5 linked regions of the Cricetulus griseus genome follow. The protein of the gene in region 1 interacts with the protein of each later gene in a biochemical or structural test. Links are inferred from orthologs where the notes say so. Each region holds a gene or a part of one and is shown on either strand. Other genes may lie near its edges.

The links.
Region 2: the proteins of Snta1 (region 1) and Wwtr1 interact in a test that uses a peptide from one of them, tested with the Homo sapiens proteins (2 studies listed by IntAct, with this or other methods). The link is inferred for Cricetulus griseus from reciprocal best matches to the Homo sapiens genes SNTA1 and WWTR1.
Region 3: the proteins of Snta1 (region 1) and Scn5a interact in a test that uses a peptide from one of them, tested with the Homo sapiens proteins (2 studies listed by BioGRID and IntAct). The link is inferred for Cricetulus griseus from reciprocal best matches to the Homo sapiens genes SNTA1 and SCN5A.
Region 4: the proteins of Snta1 (region 1) and Slc16a7 interact in a test that uses a peptide from one of them, tested with the Homo sapiens proteins (3 studies listed by BioGRID and IntAct, with this or other methods). The link is inferred for Cricetulus griseus from reciprocal best matches to the Homo sapiens genes SNTA1 and SLC16A7.
Region 5: the proteins of Snta1 (region 1) and proto-oncogene Mas interact in a test that uses a peptide from one of them, tested with the Homo sapiens proteins (2 studies listed by BioGRID and IntAct). The link is inferred for Cricetulus griseus from reciprocal best matches to the Homo sapiens genes SNTA1 and MAS1.

What each region holds. Positions count from the first base shown.
Region 1 is NC_048599.1:25,250,162-25,254,636, reverse strand, and holds part of Snta1 (alpha-1-syntrophin), read right to left. Parts: intron 3,300-4,475; coding exon 3,095-3,299; intron 1,544-3,094; coding exon 1,336-1,543; intron 1,234-1,335; coding exon 1,103-1,233; intron 1-1,102. UniProt on the Homo sapiens protein: Adapter protein that binds to and probably organizes the subcellular localization of a variety of membrane proteins. May link various receptors to the actin cytoskeleton and the extracellular matrix via the dystrophin glycoprotein complex.
Region 2 is NW_023276806.1:93,868,121-93,873,163, reverse strand, and holds the start of Wwtr1 (WW domain-containing transcription regulator protein 1), read right to left. Parts: upstream 3,457-5,043; 5' UTR 3,442-3,456; coding exon 3,275-3,441; exon of another isoform or gene 3,162-3,274; intron 2,825-3,161; coding exon 2,390-2,824; intron 1-2,389. UniProt on the Homo sapiens protein: Transcriptional coactivator which acts as a downstream regulatory target in the Hippo signaling pathway that plays a pivotal role in organ size control and tumor suppression by restricting proliferation and promoting apoptosis.
Region 3 is NC_048597.1:226,639,494-226,644,663, reverse strand, and holds the start of Scn5a (sodium channel protein type 5 subunit alpha), read left to right. Parts: upstream 1-1,714; coding exon 1,715-1,987; intron 1,988-3,507; coding exon 3,508-3,626; intron 3,627-5,170. UniProt on the Homo sapiens protein: Pore-forming subunit of Nav1.5, a voltage-gated sodium (Nav) channel that directly mediates the depolarizing phase of action potentials in excitable membranes.
Region 4 is NW_023276806.1:132,026,695-132,031,727, forward strand, and holds the start of Slc16a7 (monocarboxylate transporter 2), read left to right. Parts: upstream 1-1,577; 5' UTR 1,578-2,062; intron 2,063-5,033. UniProt on the Homo sapiens protein: Proton-coupled monocarboxylate symporter. Catalyzes the rapid transport across the plasma membrane of monocarboxylates such as L-lactate, pyruvate and ketone bodies, acetoacetate, beta-hydroxybutyrate and acetate.
Region 5 is NC_048595.1:288,210,228-288,213,813, forward strand, and holds proto-oncogene Mas, read left to right. Parts: upstream 1-1,449; 5' UTR 1,450-1,455; coding exon 1,456-2,430; downstream 2,431-3,586. UniProt on the Homo sapiens protein: Receptor for angiotensin 1-7. Acts specifically as a functional antagonist of AGTR1 (angiotensin-2 type 1 receptor), although it up-regulates AGTR1 receptor levels.

The sequences.
Region 1 (4,475 bases):
TCTGAGTCCAATGAGAGACCCTGTCTCTAAAAAAGAATATGGAGTGGGCATGATAACACATGCCTTTAATCCCAGCACTTAGAGCAGTTCAAGGTCAGCTTGGTCCATGTGCAAATTCCTAACCAGCCATGGATACATAGTAAGACTTTGTCTCACAAAAATTAACATAAATACATATATATACAAATATATATATATATACATAAACATATATGTATATATGGTAAAGCCAAATGTGGTGGCATATATCTGAAACCTCAGGACTGGAGGGAGCAGAGACAGGTGGATTGTGTGAACTTAATGGCTAGCCAGTCTAGCCAAAAATAACAACCTCTAGGTTTGATGAAAGACAAAGTCTCAAAAAATAAGGTAGAGCTAAATAGAAAAAGGTACCTGAATATGACTTCTGGTTTCTATATTTGTATGCACTCACGTGCATGCACACACACACATACACACACACAAAAAAAAAAAAAAAAAAATCCTGCTAACACAGTGTTCCTTCACCAGACAGCAGCTCTGTCTCTTTCCCCCCCAGTTCCCATGTGGATTCTGTATGTGGTTCTGCCACATTTACAGGTCATGAACATGTTCTAGCCCTCCATGCCTCTGTACCTCTGGCCACACCTAAGATGCTCTCCCTTGCTTCCTCAAAAGCTACAGTTCTTATTCATCAAAGTCCATTTCAAGTGTCACCTTCTCCTTAAGTCTTCCCTGGCCAAGCCAGACAGCTAAGTGTCTCCTATAACCTTCAATGTAATGGCTAGACATACATAATGGTTATTCTGGGTTTGTCTCCTGACTGACTCCGGATTCTCCCTGAGGGCAGTAACTATTCATGTCACTGTGTGTCCCCTGAACCGTGCAGTACAAGATGAAGGTATCAATAACTGAGTGACAGTTAGCACTTCACATTTTTCTGTTCTGAGCCTCAACTTTATAAATGGGGGAAATTGTGGCTGTAGGGAGCAGAACTTGCTTCAGATCACCTGGGAAATAGCTGGAGGCAGAACAGCACTGGGGTTTGGGGCTTCTGGGGTCCATCTGGAACACCACCCTCCCAAGTCTGAGTATAACACCGAGCGTTCCTGCTCTTCAGTACCTGGTGGCGATGAGCGGGGCAGTACGGGCTGGCCTGCTCAGGGCCTCTCGAGTTTGGGGGAGAGAGCAGTAAAGGAGCAACTCCTTCTCTGTCAGCAGGGCCAGGGTTGGGGCTGTACCTCCACTGGGCAACTGCAAGCAAAAAGGTAATGAGGACGGATGGGATGAAAGAGGTCAAAGGGCCGGGAGGGCATGGGGTGATAAGGTGTGACAGAAATGGGGCCCAGCAAGCACCTGTTCTGTCAGCCAGCCAATCTGCTTGATGTCCTGGCTCCCAGCTGTACCTGTGGCTGTCAGCAGTGCCTGCAGCTCATCCTTGACCCAAGGTATGAAAGTGCTGATCTGGGCTTGGATGGCACCTGCCCATGACCTTGCACTGGCCTCATCCTTGGCCCTCAAGAACAGGGTATCCTGGCCATCTGCTGCCCCTATCTCCAGATACCTGAAGGCACAATGGGATAAAAGATAGGACATGTCACTGGCCAGCTATCCATCCCAGACATCTAGTTCAAGAAAGCCACCCACTGCCAAACTGGAAGAAGCCACACAGGCTGTCCATGAGAGATAAGGATTGTGTTTAGGGCTGAAGAGATGGCTCAGAGGTTAAGAGCACTGGCTGGCCGGGCGTTGGTGGCACACGCCTTTAATCCCAGCACTTAGGAGGCAGGGGCAGGTGTATCTTTGTGAGTTCAAGGCCAGCCTAGTCTACAGAGCAATTTCCAGAGACAGCCGCAAAGAAATCTTGTCTCAAAAAACCAAAAAGAAAAAAGAAAAAGAAAAAGAGAAAAAGAGAGCAACCAGGTGTGATGTCCCGTCTGTAGTGTCAGCACATTATCACCAGGGTGGGTAGAGGCATTGCAGCCAAGCTCAGCAACCTGATTCCCATGGTAGAAGAGAAAAGTTGTCCTCCAGCCATCACACATACATTGTGGCATGTGCACATGCATGCACATACAAAATAAACAAATACATAAATGTAATTCAAAATTTTAAAACACTGAACTACCTAAACTATACAGACCCCTTCTCGAAAAAGAAAAAAAGAAAAAAAAAAAAAAACAGGTTGGGAAATGAGATAAAATGGGTAGAGAGAAAAGAAACAAAAAGCCATGCCATCAAGTGTGGAGGGAGAGCAACAGTGATACTGGAAAGGTTTTCCAAAATGTTTTGTGTTCCGTTAAAGATTCGCTCCCCTTTGGATTTCTGTACTACAAGGAGTAGGGCAGAAAGGGGAGGCTACTCCCAACACCTAGCCCATCCAGCTTTGCCCCTGCCTTCCTCTACTGCAGAGCTGAAAGCAAAGGACTTGAGTCCATGGATTCCCTTGCAGTTATGCCAGCCACATGACCCAGTTCTAACCTCTGAGGCTTTGACAGAGGTCTCTGGAAATCAAAGGAAAACCTTTCCAAAGACAGACCAAATCCACCCCTCGCTACACACATTGTCTAGTTCTCCCAGCACAAGGATGCAATTCAAAATACCAGATGTGGTAGTGCACCCTGTAATCACACCACTGGTAAAGTGAAAGCAGGAGGATCAAGCAGAAGTTCAAGGTCCTCCTGGGCTACACAGCGAAATTGAGAATAGCTCCAGCTACTTGAGACCCTTTCTTAAGAAGAAGAAAGCCAAGGAGAACCAAGGCTGGAAGCCAGGGCTCCTCCCTAAGCCAAGTTCCTGCTCACCTGTTAATTTCCCAGAGGAAGATGAGACAAAGGGCAGTGTGGCACACACCTTTGATCCCAGCGAGAAGAGAAGAGAAGAGAAGAGAAGAGAAGAGAAGAGAAGAGAAGAGAAGAGAAGAGAAGAGAAGAGAAGAGAAGAGAAAACAAGCAGTGCATACCATCACCCTAGAGTTAAGTCATGCGTCCATTTGACTCAGTTGTGAAGCACCTGCTTCATGCCAGCATGGATGCTGGTATGATGTTTGTCACTTACATACAACACAGATATCCTTCGTTTGTATTATCTGAGTGCCTCCCCACTCCAGCCTCACCTGGGTTCCGGGTCAGTGGGCGTGCACCTCCTTGAGACATATGCCATCTTCAAGGATATATGTTTGGCCTCACTGAGGTTCCTGGGCTGGGGACCAGGGGAAGAAGGCTGACGCTGAAGAGGTGAGGCAGGAGGTGAGTCCCAGCCAACCGAGGTCCCGCCAGCAGAATTCTTGAAATACGGTGAGACCTCCTTCATGTATTTAACTGGCAAGAAGAGAGGCCGCCTGTTACCATTGCTGCATGAACTCCATGTAGCATATATCACAATTGTCGCTAGTTAATTAAAAGCTTACTTTATGGAGCTGGACAGATGGCCCAGTGGTTAAGAGCACTGGCTGCTCTTCCAGAGGACCCAGATTCTATTCCCTGAACCCACATGGCAGTTCACAACTGTCTCTAACTCCAGTTCCAAAGGATCCAATGCCCTCTTCTGACATCAATGGGCCATTCATGCAAATGGTACACAGACATAAATTCAGGTAAAATACTCCAAAACATAAAATAGTAAAATGAAAATAATTTTTAAAATAGTGCAGTCCATAAACAGATGCAATCATCTCAGAATTGCTAACATCAGACTTGGAACCCTTACCTAAACATAACATTTGAGCTATCAAGCACAGGTAAACACACACTCTCTCTCTTTCTCTCTCTCTCTCTCTCTCTCTCTCTCTCTCTCTCTCTCTCTCTCTTTCTCTCTCTCTCTCTCTGTCACTATTTAAAATTTTTAAAGATGATGTTTGATTTAAAGCAAAACATCTTCCAGGCATGGTGATATCAGACAGAAGCGTCAGGAGTTGAGGTCAGCATGGGTGATTTAGCTAGACCCCATCTCAATAATCCTACTTCAAGGCCAGCCTGATCTACAGAGCAAGTTCCAAGACAAAAAAGAAAAAAAAAACAAAGTAAATAAAATAAGCACATGACTGTAAACCAAGCATTTGAGAGCTAGAAAAAGAGAAATCAGGAGTTTGAGACTAGCCTGGGCCGCACAAGCCCATCTCTTCAAAAAAAAAGGGGGGGGGCAGGAAGTGACTCCAGCAGAATACGTGTCTTCCATGTTCAGATTCCTGAGTTCAATCCTTGGTAACACACACACACACACACACACACACACACAGAGAGAGAGAGAGAGAGAAAGAGAGAGAGAGAGAGAGAAAGAAAGAAGCAATGGAAGGGGGTATAAGAAATGAAGACAGAGTTGTATGATGGTTCACACCTGTAATCCCAGAACTCAGGAGGATGGGGCAGGAGGATTGACAAGAATTGGATGCCACAGAGTGTGGCTCTAAACTGTCCTAATGCTGTAGCCCTTTAATACAGTTCTTCACGATACAGAGACACCCCTCAATCATAGAACTATTTCATTGCTACTTTATA
Region 2 (5,043 bases), on another chromosome or scaffold:
TTTACAGATGAGAAAGCTGAGTAATAGAGTACAAGAGAATTAAATCAGGGTTGACAGCTATCATTTTCTTAAGGCTGTGTAACAAAGTATGACATAGAACGTTGACCTTATTCAAACTTCAAGCAAAGCTCTAAGAGACATCAAGAATTCTTGCAGATTGCTTATTCTACAAGACAATACCCACAAAAAAACATAATTCCTTATGCTCTCTTAGTCACTTAGCTACTAAATTTCCAGGGATGGCTTCAGGTCATGCCATCCATCGACTATTCAAAATGAAATGAAGAATCACTCTGGTTTAGTTGGAGGAGTACCTGTGGCAGCATGGGTGGACAAAAATAATGGGTCACAACAACTTCCTCTATACACTAGGCTAACTTCTATTTTTGCCCTAAATCACAAACACATCTGAGCAATTTTAACGATTAAAAAGACATGTAGAAAAGAAATTGTTTTTACTTAGAGGTCATTTTTGTCTATGTTTCCACAGACATTAGGAAATCCCAGCTCTTATTTCATATTTCAATAATCATATTTATATGTGCATTCATGAGCAGTTTAAAAATAATCTGAGATCAAAAGGGACAATCTAAAATTATTTGGACTCTACTTATATTTATTGCGAAGTCCATGTTAGTAAAAATCCTGGTGAAATATGTACAGCTGCATTTACCTAAGTGAACTTAATACATGATGATATTTTGAACATGCGTGCACTTTGTAAACTTAGAAAAATACCATGCTATTACATCATGTACCTGACTTTAACACTATTTAGAAACCAAAGCACTGAGCACACATCTATACCATGGCTCAGTAATCCAGACACCGACTGTGATAAAAGACTGCTGAGTTGGCTTCAGGACATCACCATCACACCAACCCCCAAAACAAAGATAAAAATAATTAAAAGTATTCCCAAGAAGAGGCTAGAGGGATAGCTCAGTGGTCAAGACCATTTGATGCTCTTGCAGAGGACTGGAGTTCAGTTCCTAGCAACCTAATCCCCAATTAGGGGAGTTGCAGCTCACACTGCCAGTTCCCAGGAATTAAATACCCTCTTCTGGCCTCCATGGGCACTTCATGTATGTGGTACATACACATATCCCCAGGCACACACACATACACAGAAAATAATATAATAAATCTTTTCTTGTTTTTGTTTTTCAAGACAGGGTTTCTCTGAGTAATAGGTCTGGCTGTCCTAGAACTCAATTTGTAGACCAGGCTGGCCTCAGACTCACAGACTTCTGTCTGTCTCTGCCTCCCTGGTGCTAGGATTAAAGTTGTGTGCCACCACTGCCCAGCAAAATAAATCTTAATATAAACAAAATATCAGCAGCTTTGGGATGGGGAAGGAAGAAATGACAACCCGTATGAGTCTCAGACTTGCCCATAATAAATTCATCCACCACCATATGCTCATTCTTAGGGCCTCAACAATCGAAGTATCAAAGATAAATGCCAAAAAGGAGTTTGGTTAAACTTTTAAAATAGTACATGCTACCTTACATTTGAACCTTTGAAACAAGGCTACTTCAACAAAGAGATACAGCTCTATGATGAACTTCAAGACATGTTCGTAGGCACTTTTCCTTTTGGCAGTGAAGATTAGCCAAGAAGTGATTCTGCACCAAGTGGTTCAGCTACAACTTCCAAATAGGCCTTTGCTAGCCTGACCCCTATGATCTCACTGGTTCTGATAACAATTCCAGTTCCAGCCTGTTTCTTTCCTCAGGAATGCCAACCTCCTCTAGCATTTGAAAATATATTTTTCCTGTACAACCTAATCCAAAAACTGAGTCTAATGTAAAATTCACTACATGAAGAAGCCAGACCAATGTGACACGACCGATGACAATGCACACTCCTAATGTGATGGTATTATAGGTTACCAAGTGTAACATAATAAGACTCCTGACCCAATTTCCACACAATTTGTTGGTCCAGCCCATAACTACTTTACAATGCAGTTGGTAATTACATCACTGTGCTGTGTGGTCATTACATCACCAGCTGGGAGAGGTAAACCCACTAGGCACTGTGCTCTTTTCCGGCTTGCTTTTCCTGACTGTTTGAAGCACCCAGACGACCTACTCATGGCAGACCCACCGCTTCCAAGGTCTCCCAAAGTTCCTGTTATCTTATGCTAATAGACCTGGCTCTGAACTAGTTAAAGGAGGGAATTAAGTGTCTAAGATCACAAAAGCTGCTCCCTGCTTCTAGTCAAGTCCAACTCCCAGAGACTCACTCCCTAGTTTCCCAACTTTGCAATTCTCTGAAGAACCTTGGAAGAGTCTCAGTCAAACACACACGCACGCACACACCACGAAAGCGACAGCGTCCTGGGCATCACAGTTGTGCCCCTCTTGGCTGCCGGCTGACTTACTTGAGGAAGTATCTCTGGCCAGTGGCCGTGAAGGTCATCTCCCACCCGGGGGGCAGTGGCAGCTCGTCGGTCACGTCATAGGATTGCTGACGGAGATGCGCGTGCTGTTGTGCAGGGCCCCCAGCGGCGCCCGCACCAGTGCCTAGCTGCAGGGATGCGGGCGACGAGTGCGAGCGGACGTGCTGCGCGCCGCCTGCCAGTCGAGGCCCGGGGTGGCCGCCCGATGAGTCGGTGCTGGACTGGCGCGAGTGCGAGCCAGAATCCGGCTCCTTGAAGAAGGATTCCGGCAGGATCTTTTTCCGCCAAGAGCTGGGCTTGGGGTTCATGACAGAGTTGAAGAGGGCTTCGAGGTCCGTGTCGAGGTCCTGCGTGACGTGGATGACTTGCTGCCCTGGCGGCGGGAGCCCAGGAGGGACCGAGGACGGATTCATCTTTCTGCAAGGGAAAAGGAAGATCAGTTCATCCTTTTAGTTGAAGTCAGAGGAGATTGTGCAGGGGAAGGACAGAAAAAAAAAAAACGCAGAGACAGTTAGGTACCGGTCGAGGGACCAGCGGTGGGGGGAGGGGGCGCCCCTGGCCTCCGAGATTATGCAACTTTCCCGCAGCTAAGAAGCTCCCTTGAGCAGGCAGCGGTGGGAGGTGGAAGGGTGCCTGCATCAGGCCCGGTCGCAGCCTCCCCTGAGCAATACACCCACCGCCGATCCCAGGCGCCGGGACCGCGGACGCCGAAGAGCCCGGCGCCCGGGAGGGTGCGGGGCGCGGCGGGTGCTACCTGGGCACGCGGGGAAGCCGAGCCTGGGAGCCTCCCGAGCTAGCGAGCTGGAACCCGGTCCCGTCTGGCAGATCCTGAGCGAATTCCTAGCAGCCGAAAGTTTGGACTCTTACATCCCCGGAGCTAGCCCCGGGCGCTCGCACTGAGCGAGGAGGCGACGGAGAAGCAGCAGACGAGAGCAGCGGCCAAGGCTCCCGGACTGTCCCATAAACAAAGTTTGCAGCAAACTCCCACCCCTAGGAAAGAGGCGGGCCGAAAGTGGAGCTGTTGAATTATGCATGACCTCCTGGCCGGAGTCAGCCTGCCCCTCCTCTTCCTCCTCCTCCCACCCGGGTCGGTCGGTCGGGCTGGCGGGCGGGCGGGCGGGGTGGGCTGGGCACTTCGCGGCGAGTGAGACCGTGCCCCCGCCCCGCCGCGCCGACCTCTCCCGCCGAGCGCTCTATCTGCATTCCTTTGAGTTTACCACTGACTTGGGGCGGGATCAAAGAGAAAATGGCTCAAGCTTGTTAAATCAAGGGGTTATGGACAAAATCCAAGCCTGAGGATAACGGAGGGCACGTAGTCGTTGTCGAGGGGCCAGGGGCCAGAAAGGGTCGGTCCAGGGCGCTGTGCCCTCGCCTTGACGGGAGCGCCCCCGCATCGAGATCGCGGCACGGGGCGCGGATCTGCCCGAGGTCGGGCCGGGGCGCACCCTGGCGCAGGGAGACACCCGCGAGGCCAGACTTTCCACGGAAGGCTGCTTAGCGCTTGTGACCATATTTGGTCTGGTGAGGAGGCAACTTGGCGGTTTGGCTTTCAATTGTCTGCAAGAGCGTAGACGGTGTCCAAAAAGTGCCACTGTTGCTGAAGATGCGGCTTTGCCAAAGAATCGGTTGTAAACTACCAGCCTTCAAGCCTTTCATCAATAGTTAGTTTGCTCTACCGGGTGAATCCAGGATACTTGGGGTTGAAAGAAAAAAAAAAAAAAAACAGACAACGCTGAGTTCTAGAAGAGCCAAGCAATTGCGCCCCCTTCCCTCCTCCCGCGGCGTCTGAGAGGGTAGTGGGAGGATTGGAATGTCCCTGAGTCCCTCCAGGGAGCCTGGAACTGGGATGGAACCGGGGCAGGTGGCTAAGATGGAGAGGGTGTGTCAGTGACTCGGAAAAAGCTACCCACCCTCCCAGCGACTGGACCTGGGCCAGAGGTGGAGACCCCTGCCTGCCTTTGGGAAAAAGGAGTTCAGGCCTGGTAAGACAGCTGCCAGGAAGAGGGAGGCGGCCTTGCCCTTCCTACTGCCAGCTGCTCAACTCTATTCCTTCTTTCCTTCGGCCTCTCTCCAAGAAAGGGTGGCCGCATGTTAAGTCAAATTCCAGGAAGCCCCTACCCGACCCACAGATTCTAATAGACGTTTATTAATGATAAGCTAAGTAAGGCAATACCCGTAAAACACTTTGCTTAGCCTGGGCTGGGTACAAGTTTGTCAACAGAATTATATTAAACTCAGGCATTGTGACTCACCTTGTTAAAGAGCAAAATAAAGTCAAAATTAAATCCACAGTTGACGGACAGAGTTATAGAAAAATGAAGAGGCCTATGATCTACCAGAAAGTTGAAAGGACAAAGGCACTTTAAGAAATAGAAGAGTGGATAACGATATGGCTCAACAGGTAAAGACCCTTGCGGGCAAGCCTGACAAACTGAGCTCCATTTCCACACCCAACATGGTGGAAGGAGAGAACCAACTTCCATAAGTTGCCCTCTGGTTTCCACATAAGTCCCTCCCACCCCAATAAAAATGATATTTAAAAAAAAATTTTAGTCTACTCGAATAACTGTATCCTATTCCAAAGTGTTAACTATGCTTGAGCTGTGACCTCCATGCCTCTCAGAAGCTGGGCAAAA
Region 3 (5,170 bases), on another chromosome or scaffold:
GAACAACCACCAGGAGTCAGTTCTCTGTTTCCACCAATCTTGTGGGGATCCAAGGGTGGAACTCAGGTCGTCGGGCTTGGCAGTGAGGGCCTTTACCCGCCGAACCACCTCAGAGCCCCAGAAGTGCCCCTTGAGGCCCTTGAGTATGCTCACTTTTTACCTGCCACCTGGTTGAATGTCTGCAATCCTTGGTGCTCAGAGCACCCTGAGTCTGGGTCCTTATTGGCCGTGAGCTGGGGTGGGCGCCACGGCAGCTTACAGGAGCCATTCCTGACATGCCCCACAGGAGTGAGATCAGGGCATAGCCCTTGGCTGACAGGAAGGGAGTGTGTCCCTGGCAGAGATCTCCAGCAGGTGTCCAGTCTGCCCTCTTGAGCCGGTGCCCAGCCATTCCCGGGTTTGATGTGGTAATTAGAGGTGCAGCCCCCTGGCTTCGTGTCATAGTCAGGAGCCCTCTGGCCACATCCTGTTTTGGTGAGCCAGTCAGAATGCATTCTTCTGCCTTGCTGTCATAGACAGAGTGTGTTTGCACCAGGTCCTGAATCTTTTGAGGCCGCCAGGGGCCACATTCTCCCGGTTTGACATCACACACGTGTCTGTTGGACGTCCTCTTCAGTAGTGGTCACTGTCTTCCGGTCTCCTTGGGATTGGCATTTGTTTGTCCTCTCTTGTGGGGGAAGTGGGGCAGTGTGATGAGCCACAGCCCCCCCCCCATTCCCCATCTTTAGAATCAGTCTAGTTAGGGATGGCGCTGTCCCCAGGGGATCCCATGGGATCCTCATCAGGAGGTCTGCACAGCTGTGCACACCAGTGTGCCAACATTTGGATGCCGACTCCTCTGCTGCTGCCCAGATGTTTCTGAAAATCCGCAGGGTTTTCCTGGGTCCCTTGGGGTGAACGCTGATGTCCTCTCAGTTGCTGCCTCTTGTGCCCAGGTTTGGTGTGTAACACCTCATGGGCGGGCATGGTGTGTGCCACCTCATGGGTGGGCATGGTGACTGTGAGAACTGGACACCCCTCAGGCTGGGAATATTCCCTGGTGAGGAAGGGTAGGACCCCCGACATTTGCATGTGTTTCACCTTTCATGCGGGAGCAGAAGATCCATTCTGTCAGGGTCTGGGATAAAACAAATGGCCTCTGTCCATCCTGTCCCATGGAGCCCAGGGAGCCAGTTGGGGATGGGAGAGTCTTGAAAGAGGACAGTTGAGATGTTTCTTGTGTGGGAAGTGGGCAGGGTAAACTCATGATGGAACATTTTCCCTTGACCGCTGGTTTTCAGACACACACATTGCCAGTTCAGTGACATCTCCTCCCTCTCCCTCCCTCTCTCTCTCTCTCTCTCTCTTTCTCTCTCTCTCTCTCTCTCTCTGTCTCTCTCTGTCTCTCTGTCTCTCTGTCTGTCTGTCTCTCTCTCTCTCTCTCTCTCTCTCTCTCTCTCTCTCTCTCTCTCTCTCTCTCTCACACACACACACACACACCACAGTGGAGAGCATACGTGTGTACCCCAGCCACTGTCAATCATGTGTGCCTGACCAGTGATTGGCAGCTGGGAACCCTGTACACTTTGCAAATTTTGTCCTTTCCTGCTCCAGCATAGCTGGCCGACCGCCCTGCCCTCTGCCTGGGGCACCCCCTCACACACATGTCTGTGTCTTCCAGCTTCCCCCCAGGCAGCCTGAGGAGATCCTGTGCCCCCAGAAGCAGGATGAGAAGATGGCAAACTTCCTGTTACCTCGGGGCACCAGCAGCTTCCGTAGGTTCACCCGGGAGTCTCTGGCGGCCATCGAGAAGCGCATGGCGGAAAAGCAGGCCCGAGGTTCGGCCACGTCACAGGAGAGTCGTGAGGGCCTGCCAGAGGAGGAAGCTCCCCAGCCCCAGCTGGACCTGCAGGCCTCTAAAAAGCTGCCAGATCTCTATGGCAACCCACCCCGAGAGCTCATCGGGGAGCCCCTGGAAGATCTGGACCCTTTCTATAGTACCCAGAAGGTGACTGCCACCCCCTCAACACCCTCCTCACCCTTCTAGGTAGCTCCTAGGAAGACAGCAGGCAGATGGGGCTCTGCTCATGTGGGGTTCTGTGTGGGGCTGGCTCCCCTGGGCTTTGGGGGAGTGACTTACCACTGATCTATATTCCAGTCACCTTAAATTTGGAGTTCTGGGGTGAAGACATAAATAGTGGTGTTTGGGGCCCTAACTTGGGGGCAGGAAGACCACAGAAGTCTTTCCTTCTCATGTAGTGCTTTGGTGTGTACCTCTAGGGTACTCCTTCCTGTTCCTAGACGGGTGAGCACTTGGAGTAAAGCCCTGTGTGGTCTCCCTTCTAAATAAAAGTGGTGTGTGCTCCTCCCATCCTTCTGGCAGCTCAGAGAGCCAGCTGGCTCAAGCTGAGCCACAGTGGTCTCAGATTCCTGGGCCGTATGGCCTCCCCTGAACCACAGAGGCCATGAAAGGCTGAGAGGGGAGAAGAGGCCGCGACTGCTGAGGCATGGAATTGTGGGAAAGACCTGTTCTGTCATCATGGCTCCCCCGGAGAGGGAAGGGGGTGTTGTTTCTCCAAGACCCTGCCCTGGCCTCCTCTTCAGGCCACCCGACTATCCTCACTTCTGAGCCTAATTGGGGGGGGGGGTTGGTAGTGGGACAACTGGCTGGAATCTGGAGAAAGTACTTCCCTGAAGGCCAGGCACCAGAGCTATGGTCAGCTCCAAGCTAAGAGCAGAGCGAAAGACAACCGTAGTCAGTGTGAGGGTTCATGTAACGAGTGTCAGTGTGTCTGTCAGCATGGTCAGAGACAACTTTTGGGAGACTAGGAGCCTGTGTGTGTGTGTGTGTGTGTGTGTGTGTGTGTGTGTGTGTGTGTGTAGCGTGTGTCTCTCTGTGTGTGTATCTGTGTGTGTATGTGTGTGCACATACAGGGCTGCGTGTGTGATCAGCTATGGATGTGGAGACCCACACACTCAGTCCCCGCTGTCAGGAAAGCTGGCCTGGGGCTACTGTGAAGCTTCCAGAACTCCCGGTTCAAGTGACTAGAGTCAGTCAGGGTTGGGCATGAGTGTGAGAGTTATTAGGCCAGAGGTGAATTGGGTGAGTGGGTAGGTGGACTTAGGTCATGGACGGTCAGAGATGACTGGATTGGGATTGGGGTTAGGGACATGGCTGAGAGAGTCTAGGTCACCATGAGAGGAATAGAGAGGATTAGGTTGGAGTCAGATGAGACCAGTAGAGGGACAGGCAGTAGGTGAGCCTAAGGATGGAGTCCAGGCTGGGTGGGCTTCAGGCCTCTTCTCCCGTGATTATAGGTGTGTGCCACCACACCCCCTGAAAGGGTCCTGGCTGAGATGGTAATTCTGAAACTAAAGAAAATCTCAACCAACCTGACATCACCCAGACTCCACCTTCCCCCTCTTCACTCACGGCCCAGGCATGGGGTCTCACTTCCTTTCCTGCTTCCCTGCCCCTTAGCCTCGACCTGGGGCTCTGAGATGACAGCTGTCTCCCTCTGTCTACAGACCTTCATCGTGCTGAATAAGGGCAAAACCATCTTCCGATTCAGCGCCACCAATGCCTTGTACGTCCTTAGCCCCTTCCACCCCGTACGCAGAGCGGCAGTGAAGATCCTGGTACATTCATATCCTTTGCTGTTAATCCCTGTGGTCCGCCTCTGTCCTGGGCTGATACACGATGGGTGCTGGGCAAGACCCCTTACTGCTCCTGGGGCAAGCAACTGATTAGAAAAATAGAACCCCAAACTCCACCCTAGATAGTGCCTGCTCATTAACAAGATCCCTAGGGGGTATTTGGGGTGGAGGAGACTTTGAGAAAGCCATGACATCCCCTCTGCTTCTTCAAGAGGAAAAACAGCCTTGAAACCAGCAGTAGGATTCCAGAAGAAATGATGTCCTCAGCGTTGTCCTGTTTCTGGTGGCTCCAAATGTCCCCACCCACCACCACCTGGAGGTTCCCCCCACACTTCCCGCTGCCCCTTGCAGAGGCTCAGCCAAGGAAAAGCCAGGCCTTGGTAAAAAGGCCTCTAGTTTTTTCTCATGTGGGCATCTTTTGAAGGAGACAGCGCTTGCATCTGAACTAGGTGTTGACAAAATGTTTGCAGTTTGAGAGCTTCTCAAAGAACTCTGGTTAGCGTCCAATTACATAAACCGCAGCCTAAAAATGCTTCCTGCCTGCTGACAGAGCTATTGGAGTGAAGCAGTGGGGCAAAGAGTGCCAAACCAGCTCCGGGGGCCCAGTTCAGGCAGCGTCCGAAGGGGGACCAGTCCTTCTCCGCATTTCATTGTTAAGACATGCTTATTTACTTACTGTGTTCTTGTGGGGGGGTGGGGGGAATGTGGAGGTCAGAGGACAAACTGCACGGGACAGTTGTCCCCTTTCACCATGTGGGTTCCCGGGATCAAACATGGGTGGTCAAGCTTAAACAGCAAGTGCCTTTGCCACTGAACTGACTCACTGGTCCACTCGTCTCGTCTCTAGATTTCAGAGAAGGGACTTGAGGAGTCTCAGAGAGGGATGGTGCTGTCCACCAAGGCAGAGACCTCCACATTTTACTGTGAGGACTTGGGAAGCCCTTTCCGTGGCCACTGTGACCTGGCGAGGGCATGCCTGTAGTCAGTGCTGTTGTTTGTTTGGCTGGTTTGGGCTTTCTGTTGTTGTTAATTATTGCGTGTATTTATTTGCTTGTGGTGTTGGGGGAGACATCGTGGTGTGTATGTGGTCGGGGTCTTTCCACTGTGTGGAGGTGGGAGATGGAACCCAGGCTGTGAGACTTGCAAGCGCTCTTACCACTGAACCAACTCCAAGCCCTCAAGTGCCGTTGGGAATCTCAGTTATACTGCTGAGCTCCCAATGATGTCAGGTGTGGGTATAGTGAACCGGCTGGGCAGAGGTCCTCAAATCCTCCCAGCCACCTCTACCTCAACCCTGAGCATTTGCCTTTCAGAGAGTTCCCTAAGAGTGGTAAGACAGCTACCAAGTTGTCGTTCCCTCCAGAGTGTGGTCGCAGCTTTGTAGGAAGAACAGAGCTGAAGGAGGAGGAAAAAACAGTTTCCTTAGTGCTCGGAGCTGGTCTCCAGCCTGCCCTAGGGGTGTGGCCACCCCAAAGCATCCTCCAAGCTCACTCGGGGCTGCTTCTCCAGGTAGCTAACCAACCCAACAGTGTTT
Region 4 (5,033 bases), on another chromosome or scaffold:
ACTAGAAAAACAGCACTTACAAATAAAGCATGCTATGTTTCTAAAATGTTGAGTGTTGATGTTTGCAGGTTTGGCAATGGGTTAAATAAGACCAGACACTGGAGAAAATAAGATAAAAAAAAATAAAACACATAAGAGAAGGAAAGGGGAGAACAGATTAAATTCAACAACTTCGGGCTTTCTTGCACTTCCTTTTCTTGGAAAAGAAATAAAAGAGATGGGTGAGCAGGAAAAAATCTTAATAACAAATATCCAAGAACATGACCTTGCTATGTCTTCAGGTTGCTTCTTTTAAATGTTTATCACTCTTTCTTGGCAATGATATAAATATATTTATAGTCTTTGTTAGATTCTCAATTGTTATCTTCTACAAATATCTATTTATGCTGAGTTTACTTTTCCTCCTGAGAAAACAGGTTGTTTCCAGAATGTTCTGCCTTAACTTTTAATTTTGGAATTATAATCTTCTTAAAATCAGTTAACATTTATCATTATTTATTTCGTGTGTATTGTATGTGTATGTATACACGTGTGTACATGTACATGCTTGCCAGGGGTGTGGGGGAAAGAGAACAGCTTGAAAGGGTAGGTCCTCTCTGCTATGTAGATTCTGAGCATCATACTCAGGCCACCGGACTCGGCGGCAAACTTCTTTATCCAATGAAGTTTTTTGTATGGCACATTTGGAAACTAGCGGCCACCACTCCACTGGGTCCTCTCAAATTTTCTCCTGATCGCTTTATATTTCCCTTTATATATTCGTCCTGCCTAAGTCTTATGCAAACCATATTCCTCTTTTGTAATTGCAGAACCTGAAATTCAAATTCTGCCCTTGCCTACAGACTGACTAGCTGGAGCAAAGCAATACCTCCCGAATTTATCCAAGTGGTACCACCTTCCCGTGTCTGCCTCCAAATGTGTATAACGTAATTAATTGTAGACTGCATCTACAATTCAGTCTACAATTGTAGACTCCATCTACAATGGAGTGTTGCGTTATGAAATTAAGAGAAGGAAAGGCCAGTTAAATGGACAGAAAACTTCAACGAAGTTCTCAAATGCAAAAGCTCCACACAGCTTTTCTAATCAGAGAGTCCACTTAAAGAGGTTAAAGAAAGCCAGTCTTGGGAGTTGTCTAACTCTTCAGCGCCAACCCTTCCTCTTTTTAACTTCCCCAAGAAGGACATGTTAGGGGAAGAAACAAAATCAACATTTGTGCATTATTCTTTGTCAAGTAAGTAAATCCTGTCTTGAAAACTGGAATAATGTGAGCTACAAAAAGGAAAGGAATTAAAATCGACAATCTCCCCCACCACCGAATTCTCATACTTTCTGCGTCTTGTGCTGTTTTCTGTTCCCCTTCTCCTTTCGCCTAAATTTTGTCTTTTCCATGGAGGGATTTGGCTCTGACCAGAATCTCTTTCTCCATCCTCAATCGGGCCAGCACTCACTACTGACAGAAATCCTGAACTGAATGAAGGGACAAATGCATGAATGGATGGATGAGTCACACAGCCCTTTCCGCCCTAGCTCATGAAGAGGTCTTGCTCTTTTCTCTGCCTTCCGCAGCAGGCTCCTCTCGGCATCCTTATCTGGAGATTGCATAACAGCCTAGGTCTCTAGAGCCACCTCACACCTGCCTTCTCAGGTTGGGCGCCAAAGCACCAGCCTGGAAGCAAGTCTGAGTGCCCAGCCACCACCGATCGCTCCTGGTCAGAACTAAAACCCGAAGTGGAGTGCTGGGAGCCACAGAGCTCGCACCGACCAGCACAACCACGGCGCCCTTGGGAGCATGCTCAGTGCGCCTTCCTTCCCTGCGCCCCCAGCCCGCGCCCTCCTCCCGCGTCCTCCCCGGCACCGCACCCAGGCGCGCTCCCGGGTACCCCAATCTGCCTCCGCCCCCGCCCCCGTCCCCCTCCCCCAGGCCTCGGCAGGCGAGGACACGTCAGGGGACATAAATAAATAAATAATTCCATTCAGCCGGTGACAGCGAGGCGAGGAGGCTGCAGCTGGGCGGGGGGACCGGGAGAGCTGCGGTGTGTGCACCGGGTGCTGGAGCCAGGTAAAGGCGGTGCTCCCTGGGAGGACGGGAGGAGGAGGACGAGGCGGGAGGAGAGCGAGTGCGGCTACCCAGGGACCGCACGCGGGTGCAGAGAGCCTGCAACCCCGGCTGCCAGCCCGCGCGCGCCTTGTGCCCTGAGCCCTTATATAGACAAAATCCCGAAGCCGATCCGGCGCGGGCTCGGGCGGGCGCTTCGGGGGCCCCCGAGGTCTGGGGATCCAGAGGTTGCAGGGCCCACGCCACCAGCTGCTAGTGCAGTCCTGGTGCGGGCACCTCAGGACAGTGAGTGGGCGGGCCCTGCCAGGCCAGCGCCCCCGAGGTGTTCTCCAGAATCTTCCCTGACCTACAGCATCCTGGGCGGTGTCCTTGCAGTGGGTTTGGATGGGTGGGGAAGTGCGTGGAGGGAATGGCAGCTCTTTCTGAAGAAGATCTGAGTCTTCGAGGAAGGCAAGGTGTTCTGTTTCGGTTCCCAGGAAGTCAAGGTAGAGGCTGCTGGCAAGAGAGGCTTGTGGTTGTCTTCCAGGGGCTTGAGAAGGGCCTGTGCCACCCTGATGTCCTCTGAGCCTCCTGAACCACTTCACCACGCTGGGGGTGACAGTCTTGGCTAGGTAGCACAGGTGGCTGTGAGCCCCAGCGGATGCTGCATCCCAGCTGGCCTCTCCATCCTTTTCTACTTCTGATACCTTTTCTACTTCTGCTACCTTCTGCAGATCGCTTTGGGAGGGGCGATAGTGCTTTAGGCCTCTCTCATTCCTGGTTGGACTACTCTTGTTTTACTTGGAGAAGCAGCACAGGCACACCACCACCACCACCACCACCACCACCACCACCACACACACACACACACACACACACACACACACACACACACACACACACACAGCTATTTCTCTTCGAGTGTTTCTTTAACTCACTTTGGTGAAGAAATAAGACTGGGCCTCCTTGAGGGCTGTCTAGTAGCCATTCAAAAGCTAATAATCCATGTCCTCCTCCCTCCTCAAACCAGAAGGAAATGCAATGAAGGAATAAAAATAGCAGGGAGTGACGAACACATGACCCTAAAAGCCTGGGCAAGAGGAAATCATGGACACAAATCCTGGCATACCAGGCTTCAAGGCTGAAACCGGTCAGCACATACAGGAGGCCTTTCAAGGCCTGCCTAGGTCCCATTGACTGTACTCTGTCACCCCAACCACCAAGCTGCATTTAAAGAAGGTGATAGAAAAAGGAGAGTTGAGTGTGGGACGCCGAACAAAGATGAGCGTTGAACGAGGTTAAGTCGTGAGATAATGCTAACTCCATCATCTGCTTCACTGTGCTGTGCGTTGAAGTCCATCTAGATGAGAGGGTAACTAAATGATATTAGCGACAGGGATGGCATGGCGTAAGACAGCTATCTCAGTGTGTGCTGCCACAGCTCACAGATGTTCATGTTATGAAAAAGTGTTGTGGAGGAACTTGGTGGATTCCATGACAGGCAAGGGTGACCGAGGCGGAGGGACAAACATGCCAGGCAGACAGAGCTTAGTGAGAAGTTTTATTAGAAAGGGAAGAGGGGTGGAGGTAAAAAGGCACAGAAACACAGAGTGAGGACAGAAGAGAAGAGGGAGACAGGAAAAGTCCCATCTGCCCCAGGGAAAGAGAGAGGGAAAGAGAGAGCAAGAAAGACAGCGTTCAGTGGGTGGGGGGTCTTTCTTTTAAAGGAGTCTTTTGCACCCGCCTGCAGACTATACAACCATGGAACCCTGGGCTGACCGGGGTACCGCCTGAGTGCATTCTGCCAGCTGACAGGGGCAGGCCGAGATAATGCCTAAATCCTTACAGTTCACATCAATACTGCTCTTTCCTCCTGTGTGTTTTGTTTTGGGTTTTGTTTGTTTTGTTTTAAACTAGTGGTTAACAATCTGAAGTTTTGTGGGGGAGCAGCAGAGGATTAAGCCCAGGGATCTATCATTGTGCAATGTCCCTATCCACTTATTTTGAGGCGGACTCTTGCTAAATTAGCCAGACAGGCCTTGGATTCTCTGTGTTGCCTAGGGAGACTTGACATTGGTCCTCTTCCCCAGGGACAGAGATTGCGGGCATGTGCCACTCTTTCCCTGATGTGACCTTCAGTGTCACCAACAGTTTCTTATCTGCAAATTAGCACACGCTCCTATCAATTCCAGTTTGTTTCTAGACACGCCTGTTTCTTGTACAGTATCTGCCCTGTATTTCAGGCTTTCATCCTTCCTCGAGGTATGGAAGGTAGGATGACTTCAATGATGCTCCTTATCCAGAATTGTGTTTTGGGTTCATAGATGTGGTGTCTCTAGAACTTTCCCTTTGATTCCGTACTCATTAAAACACTTGGGAAAATTTATATGACAAAAAAGAAACTAACACCCAGTCATTAAGACCGAGATACCACGATTGTTTCTGAGTTGGCAAGGATTTTTTACCACAGGATTATTTTGTAATAGAGGGCTACCTACCATCCTACACATTTTTATCCTTCAAAGGTCCATATTCAAAAGTCCCTGAAGGAAAAGGCCTAAGAGTGAGAATCATTAAAAATGAAATTAAAAGGTGCTGGAGAAGTGTGATCTCCAGAGTCCAAATGCTGGAACTCCGTCAAGCAGTGATGTTCACTGTGCAGTCCATGCCAGGATAGTATTCTTAGCATCTTTAGAATGCTATCTTCAGGCCTGGTGCTGGTATTTTCTGTTAACATCTAAGAACACTACAGGGTAGAGTTGTCTATATTTATATTTACAGAAATGTTTAGGCACAGTTACAGGGTTTACTCTGTCAGCATAGTCTGGTAGTCTGTTTTACGTTTCTCTAACAAGCTATCTCATGCTGCATAACATGTTTTTAAAAGGAGCTGAGTTTGCCTCATGATACAGATTGATGGAAAACCCAAATGTCACGGTACTAGCAGCTACTTAGTGTCTCTTGGAAAATGATAACATAGTGATATAGTAAGGTA
Region 5 (3,586 bases), on another chromosome or scaffold:
GGCCTTTGGTGGCAGCACAGGCCTTGAACTTCAACACAGACCCCAGTCTCAATAGGACCACAGACCTAGACATGGTCCTCTGCAATAGCCAGGTTTAGATGTCACCATTGCCACAGATGGCAGTGTTGCAGGCCATTCAGATTGGCATGGCCCCAGTGGCAGTGTGGCTCTCAGCCACTAACATGGCCCCATACCTTGGGCATCCACATGGACTTCAATGGTAACAGAAGTCTCATCAACACAGATAGGACCCTGGCTACAGTAGGGACATGGACCCAGACATGGCCCTCAGCTGCAGTTCTGGCCCGGATGTCACCATGGCATTGGGTAGCAGCTCAGGCCACACAGATCTGTATGACCCTGGCTGCAGCTTGGCCCTCAGACACCAACATGGATTCAGGTGGCTGACCTGACCCTGGGCATCCACAAGGTCCTTGGAGGCAACAGGAACCGTGGATATCAACCTGCACCCTGGCTGCTATAGGGCTACCGACTCAGACACCGCCCTCCGCAGAAGCCTGGACCTGGATGGCACCACAGCCTAATCTGCTACCCAAATCTGTATGACCCCAGCAGTAGCATGACCTCCAGACTCCAACTGGACCATGGGTTATAGCCCAGACTGGGTCCTTTGTAATAGCAATAAATTCTTAGCCATGGAACCATCTCTCTAGCCCCTATTTATTTATTTTTATTTTTGTGTGTATGAGCGGTTTGTTTATTTACTTTTTTTGCCTGCATGTACATTTGTGTACTGTATGGCAGGTGACCTCAGTCAGAAGAGGGTGTTGGATCCCTTGAAACTGGAGTTATAGGTTGTTCAGGAGCCAAAATGTGGGTGCTGGGTACAGAACTTGGAACCTCTGCAAGAGTAGCCAGTGCTCTTAACCACTGAGCCAGCTCTGCAGGCCCCAAACCTATGGAATTTTTGTTTGTTTGTTTGTTTGTTTTGTTTGTTTATTTATATGGTTTTTCGAGACAAGATTTCTCTGTCCTGGAACTCACTCTGTGGACCAGGCTGGCTTACACAGAGATCTGCCTGCCTCTGCCTCCCAAGTGCTGGGATTAAAGGCATGCACCACCACCACCCAGCTGTTGTTTGTTTTTAAATGTGAGTCTCAGGAATCCAACTTAGTTCCTTGTGCTTGCAAAGCAAGCATTTTTCTTTTCTTTTCTTTTTTGTTTTTTCGAGACAGGTTTTCTCTGTGTAGCTTTGGAGCCTATCCTGGCACTCACTCTGGAGACCAGGCTGACCTCGAACTCACAGAGATCCATCTGCCTCTGCCTCCGGAGTGCTGGGATTAAAGGTGTGCGCCAGCAACGCCCCAGCTAACAAAGCAAGCATTTTCCTCCCTGCAAGCTGTCTCTTCTATTTTATTTCTCCAGCTTTCATAGTTTGTTTGTTTGCCTTATTTACAGAAAATGACCTGAAGCGGCTCAGCCCAGAGCCTCCTCATGGACCAGTCAAATATGACATCTCTTGCAGAGGAGAAAGCCATGAACACCTCCAGCAGGAATGCCTCCCTGGGGAGCTCACACCCGCCCATTCCCATAGTGCACTGGGTCATTATGAGCATCTCCCCGCTGGGCTTTGTAGAGAACGGAATTCTCCTCTGGTTCCTCTGCTTCCGGATGAGGAGAAACCCCTTCACAGTCTACATCACCCACTTGTCCATTGCTGACATCTCACTCTTGTTCTGTATTTTCATTCTGTCCATTGACTATGCTTTGGACTACGAACTCTCTTCTGGCCATTACTACACAATCGTTACATTATCGGTGACTTTTCTATTTGGCTACAACACGGGCCTCTATCTGCTGACAGCCATCAGTGTGGAGAGGTGCCTGTCGGTCCTCTACCCAATTTGGTACAGATGTCACCGCCCCAAGCACCAGTCGGCATTTGTCTGCGCCCTCCTGTGGGCACTCTCGTGCTTGGTGACCACCATGGAGTACGTCATGTGCATCGACAGTGGGGAAGAGAGTCGGTCTCGAAGCGACTGCCGGGCGGTCATCATCTTCATAGCCATCCTCAGCTTCCTGGTCTTCACCCCGCTCATGCTAGTCTCCAGCACCATCTTGGTGGTGAAGATACGGAAGAACACGTGGGCCTCCCACTCATCGAAGCTGTACATCGTCATCATGGTCACCATCATCGTTTTCCTCATCTTTGCGGTGCCCATGCGGGTCCTCTACCTGCTTTACTACGAATACTGGTCAGCCTTTGGGAACCTGCATAACATCTCTCTGCTGTTCTCCACTGTCAACAGCAGCGCCAACCCGTTCATCTACTTTTTTGTGGGCAGCAGCAAGAAGAAGCGCTTCAGGGAGTCCTTGAAAGTGGTTCTGACCAGAGCTTTCAAAGATGAAATGCAGCCCAGACGCCAGGAGGGCAATGGCAACACCATGTCTATTGAGACGGTGGTCTGAGGACCACAGCAGGGAATTGTGGACACAATGAGGGTGGCTTTCAATTTGCGCTTGGCGTGCAATCAAAGCACATTTAAATCTCCAAAAATGATACAGAAGGGAAGCATTCCACATGCATGAAAGTGTAATCGACGATGATCTTGTGTTCCTATCTAGTGTCTTCTGGAAATGCCTCCATAAGTGAGGTTGCTCCGTCTTTCCCATTCTTGTCAGAGACTCACTCTTCTCTTAGCTCTTAGTGATCAACCATTAACTATAAAAACTGCTCTAGCAGGAAGTATCCCAGATGGGACCTGGAGAACCTAGGGAAGCCATGCAGTGACTGCTGTTTGCTCCTGTGTGACTTCAAGCAAGTGGCTTTGGGGAGCCTCATTTCCCCCCTTAGTGGAAGTGGTGACAGTTTGTAGTGTGCAGGTTATTGTGGAGTAAGGCAAGGTAGGCAAAGCACCTGCCCATTGTCAAAGTTCAATAAACGTCCATCTCTCTTCATCCTTTAACCAGAACACAATGTTCTCATACAGATATTGTCTTGTGCTTTTAAACGTGGAATGTAGATTCCTAAACGTCTTTTGGCTTGTAGCATAACAGCTTTTCATGACAGCTCTGCCGAAACATCATCAATTGTTCCAATCTGGGCAGCAACAGATTGGGACAGCATTTTGAGTTCGGGAAACAAACATTTGTCCCCTCTTGGAAAAATTTCCCATGGCTTCCCATTCCTTGAGGAATATTACATGGGATGGAAGTCGATGTTTTGAAAAATTTTGACTGGTATACAATGCAACTTAATTCAGGAGGTTGAGAGCTATTGTGATCTTGAAGACTGGTTCCCCCAAAGTGATGGGTTATTTATAGCCATGAAGTTCTTGCCTTCAGCCTCATAGATTTTCTGCATCTGATGGCCTTTTTTGAGTGTGTGTGTGTGTGTGTGTGTGTGTGTGTGTGTGTGTGTGTGTGCATGCACTCATGTATGCCTACATGCAACTCACAGACATGTGAATGTGCGTGGCTTGGACATGTGGTGGGTGTGTGTGCATTTAGAGGTCCAAGGTCAAATAGGGAGTTTTCCTCCATTGCTTTCAACCTTATTCAGTGAGTCAGGCTCCCTCAGCCAAATCCAGAGTCACCATAGGGCTAGTCTAACATACAAGCTTCC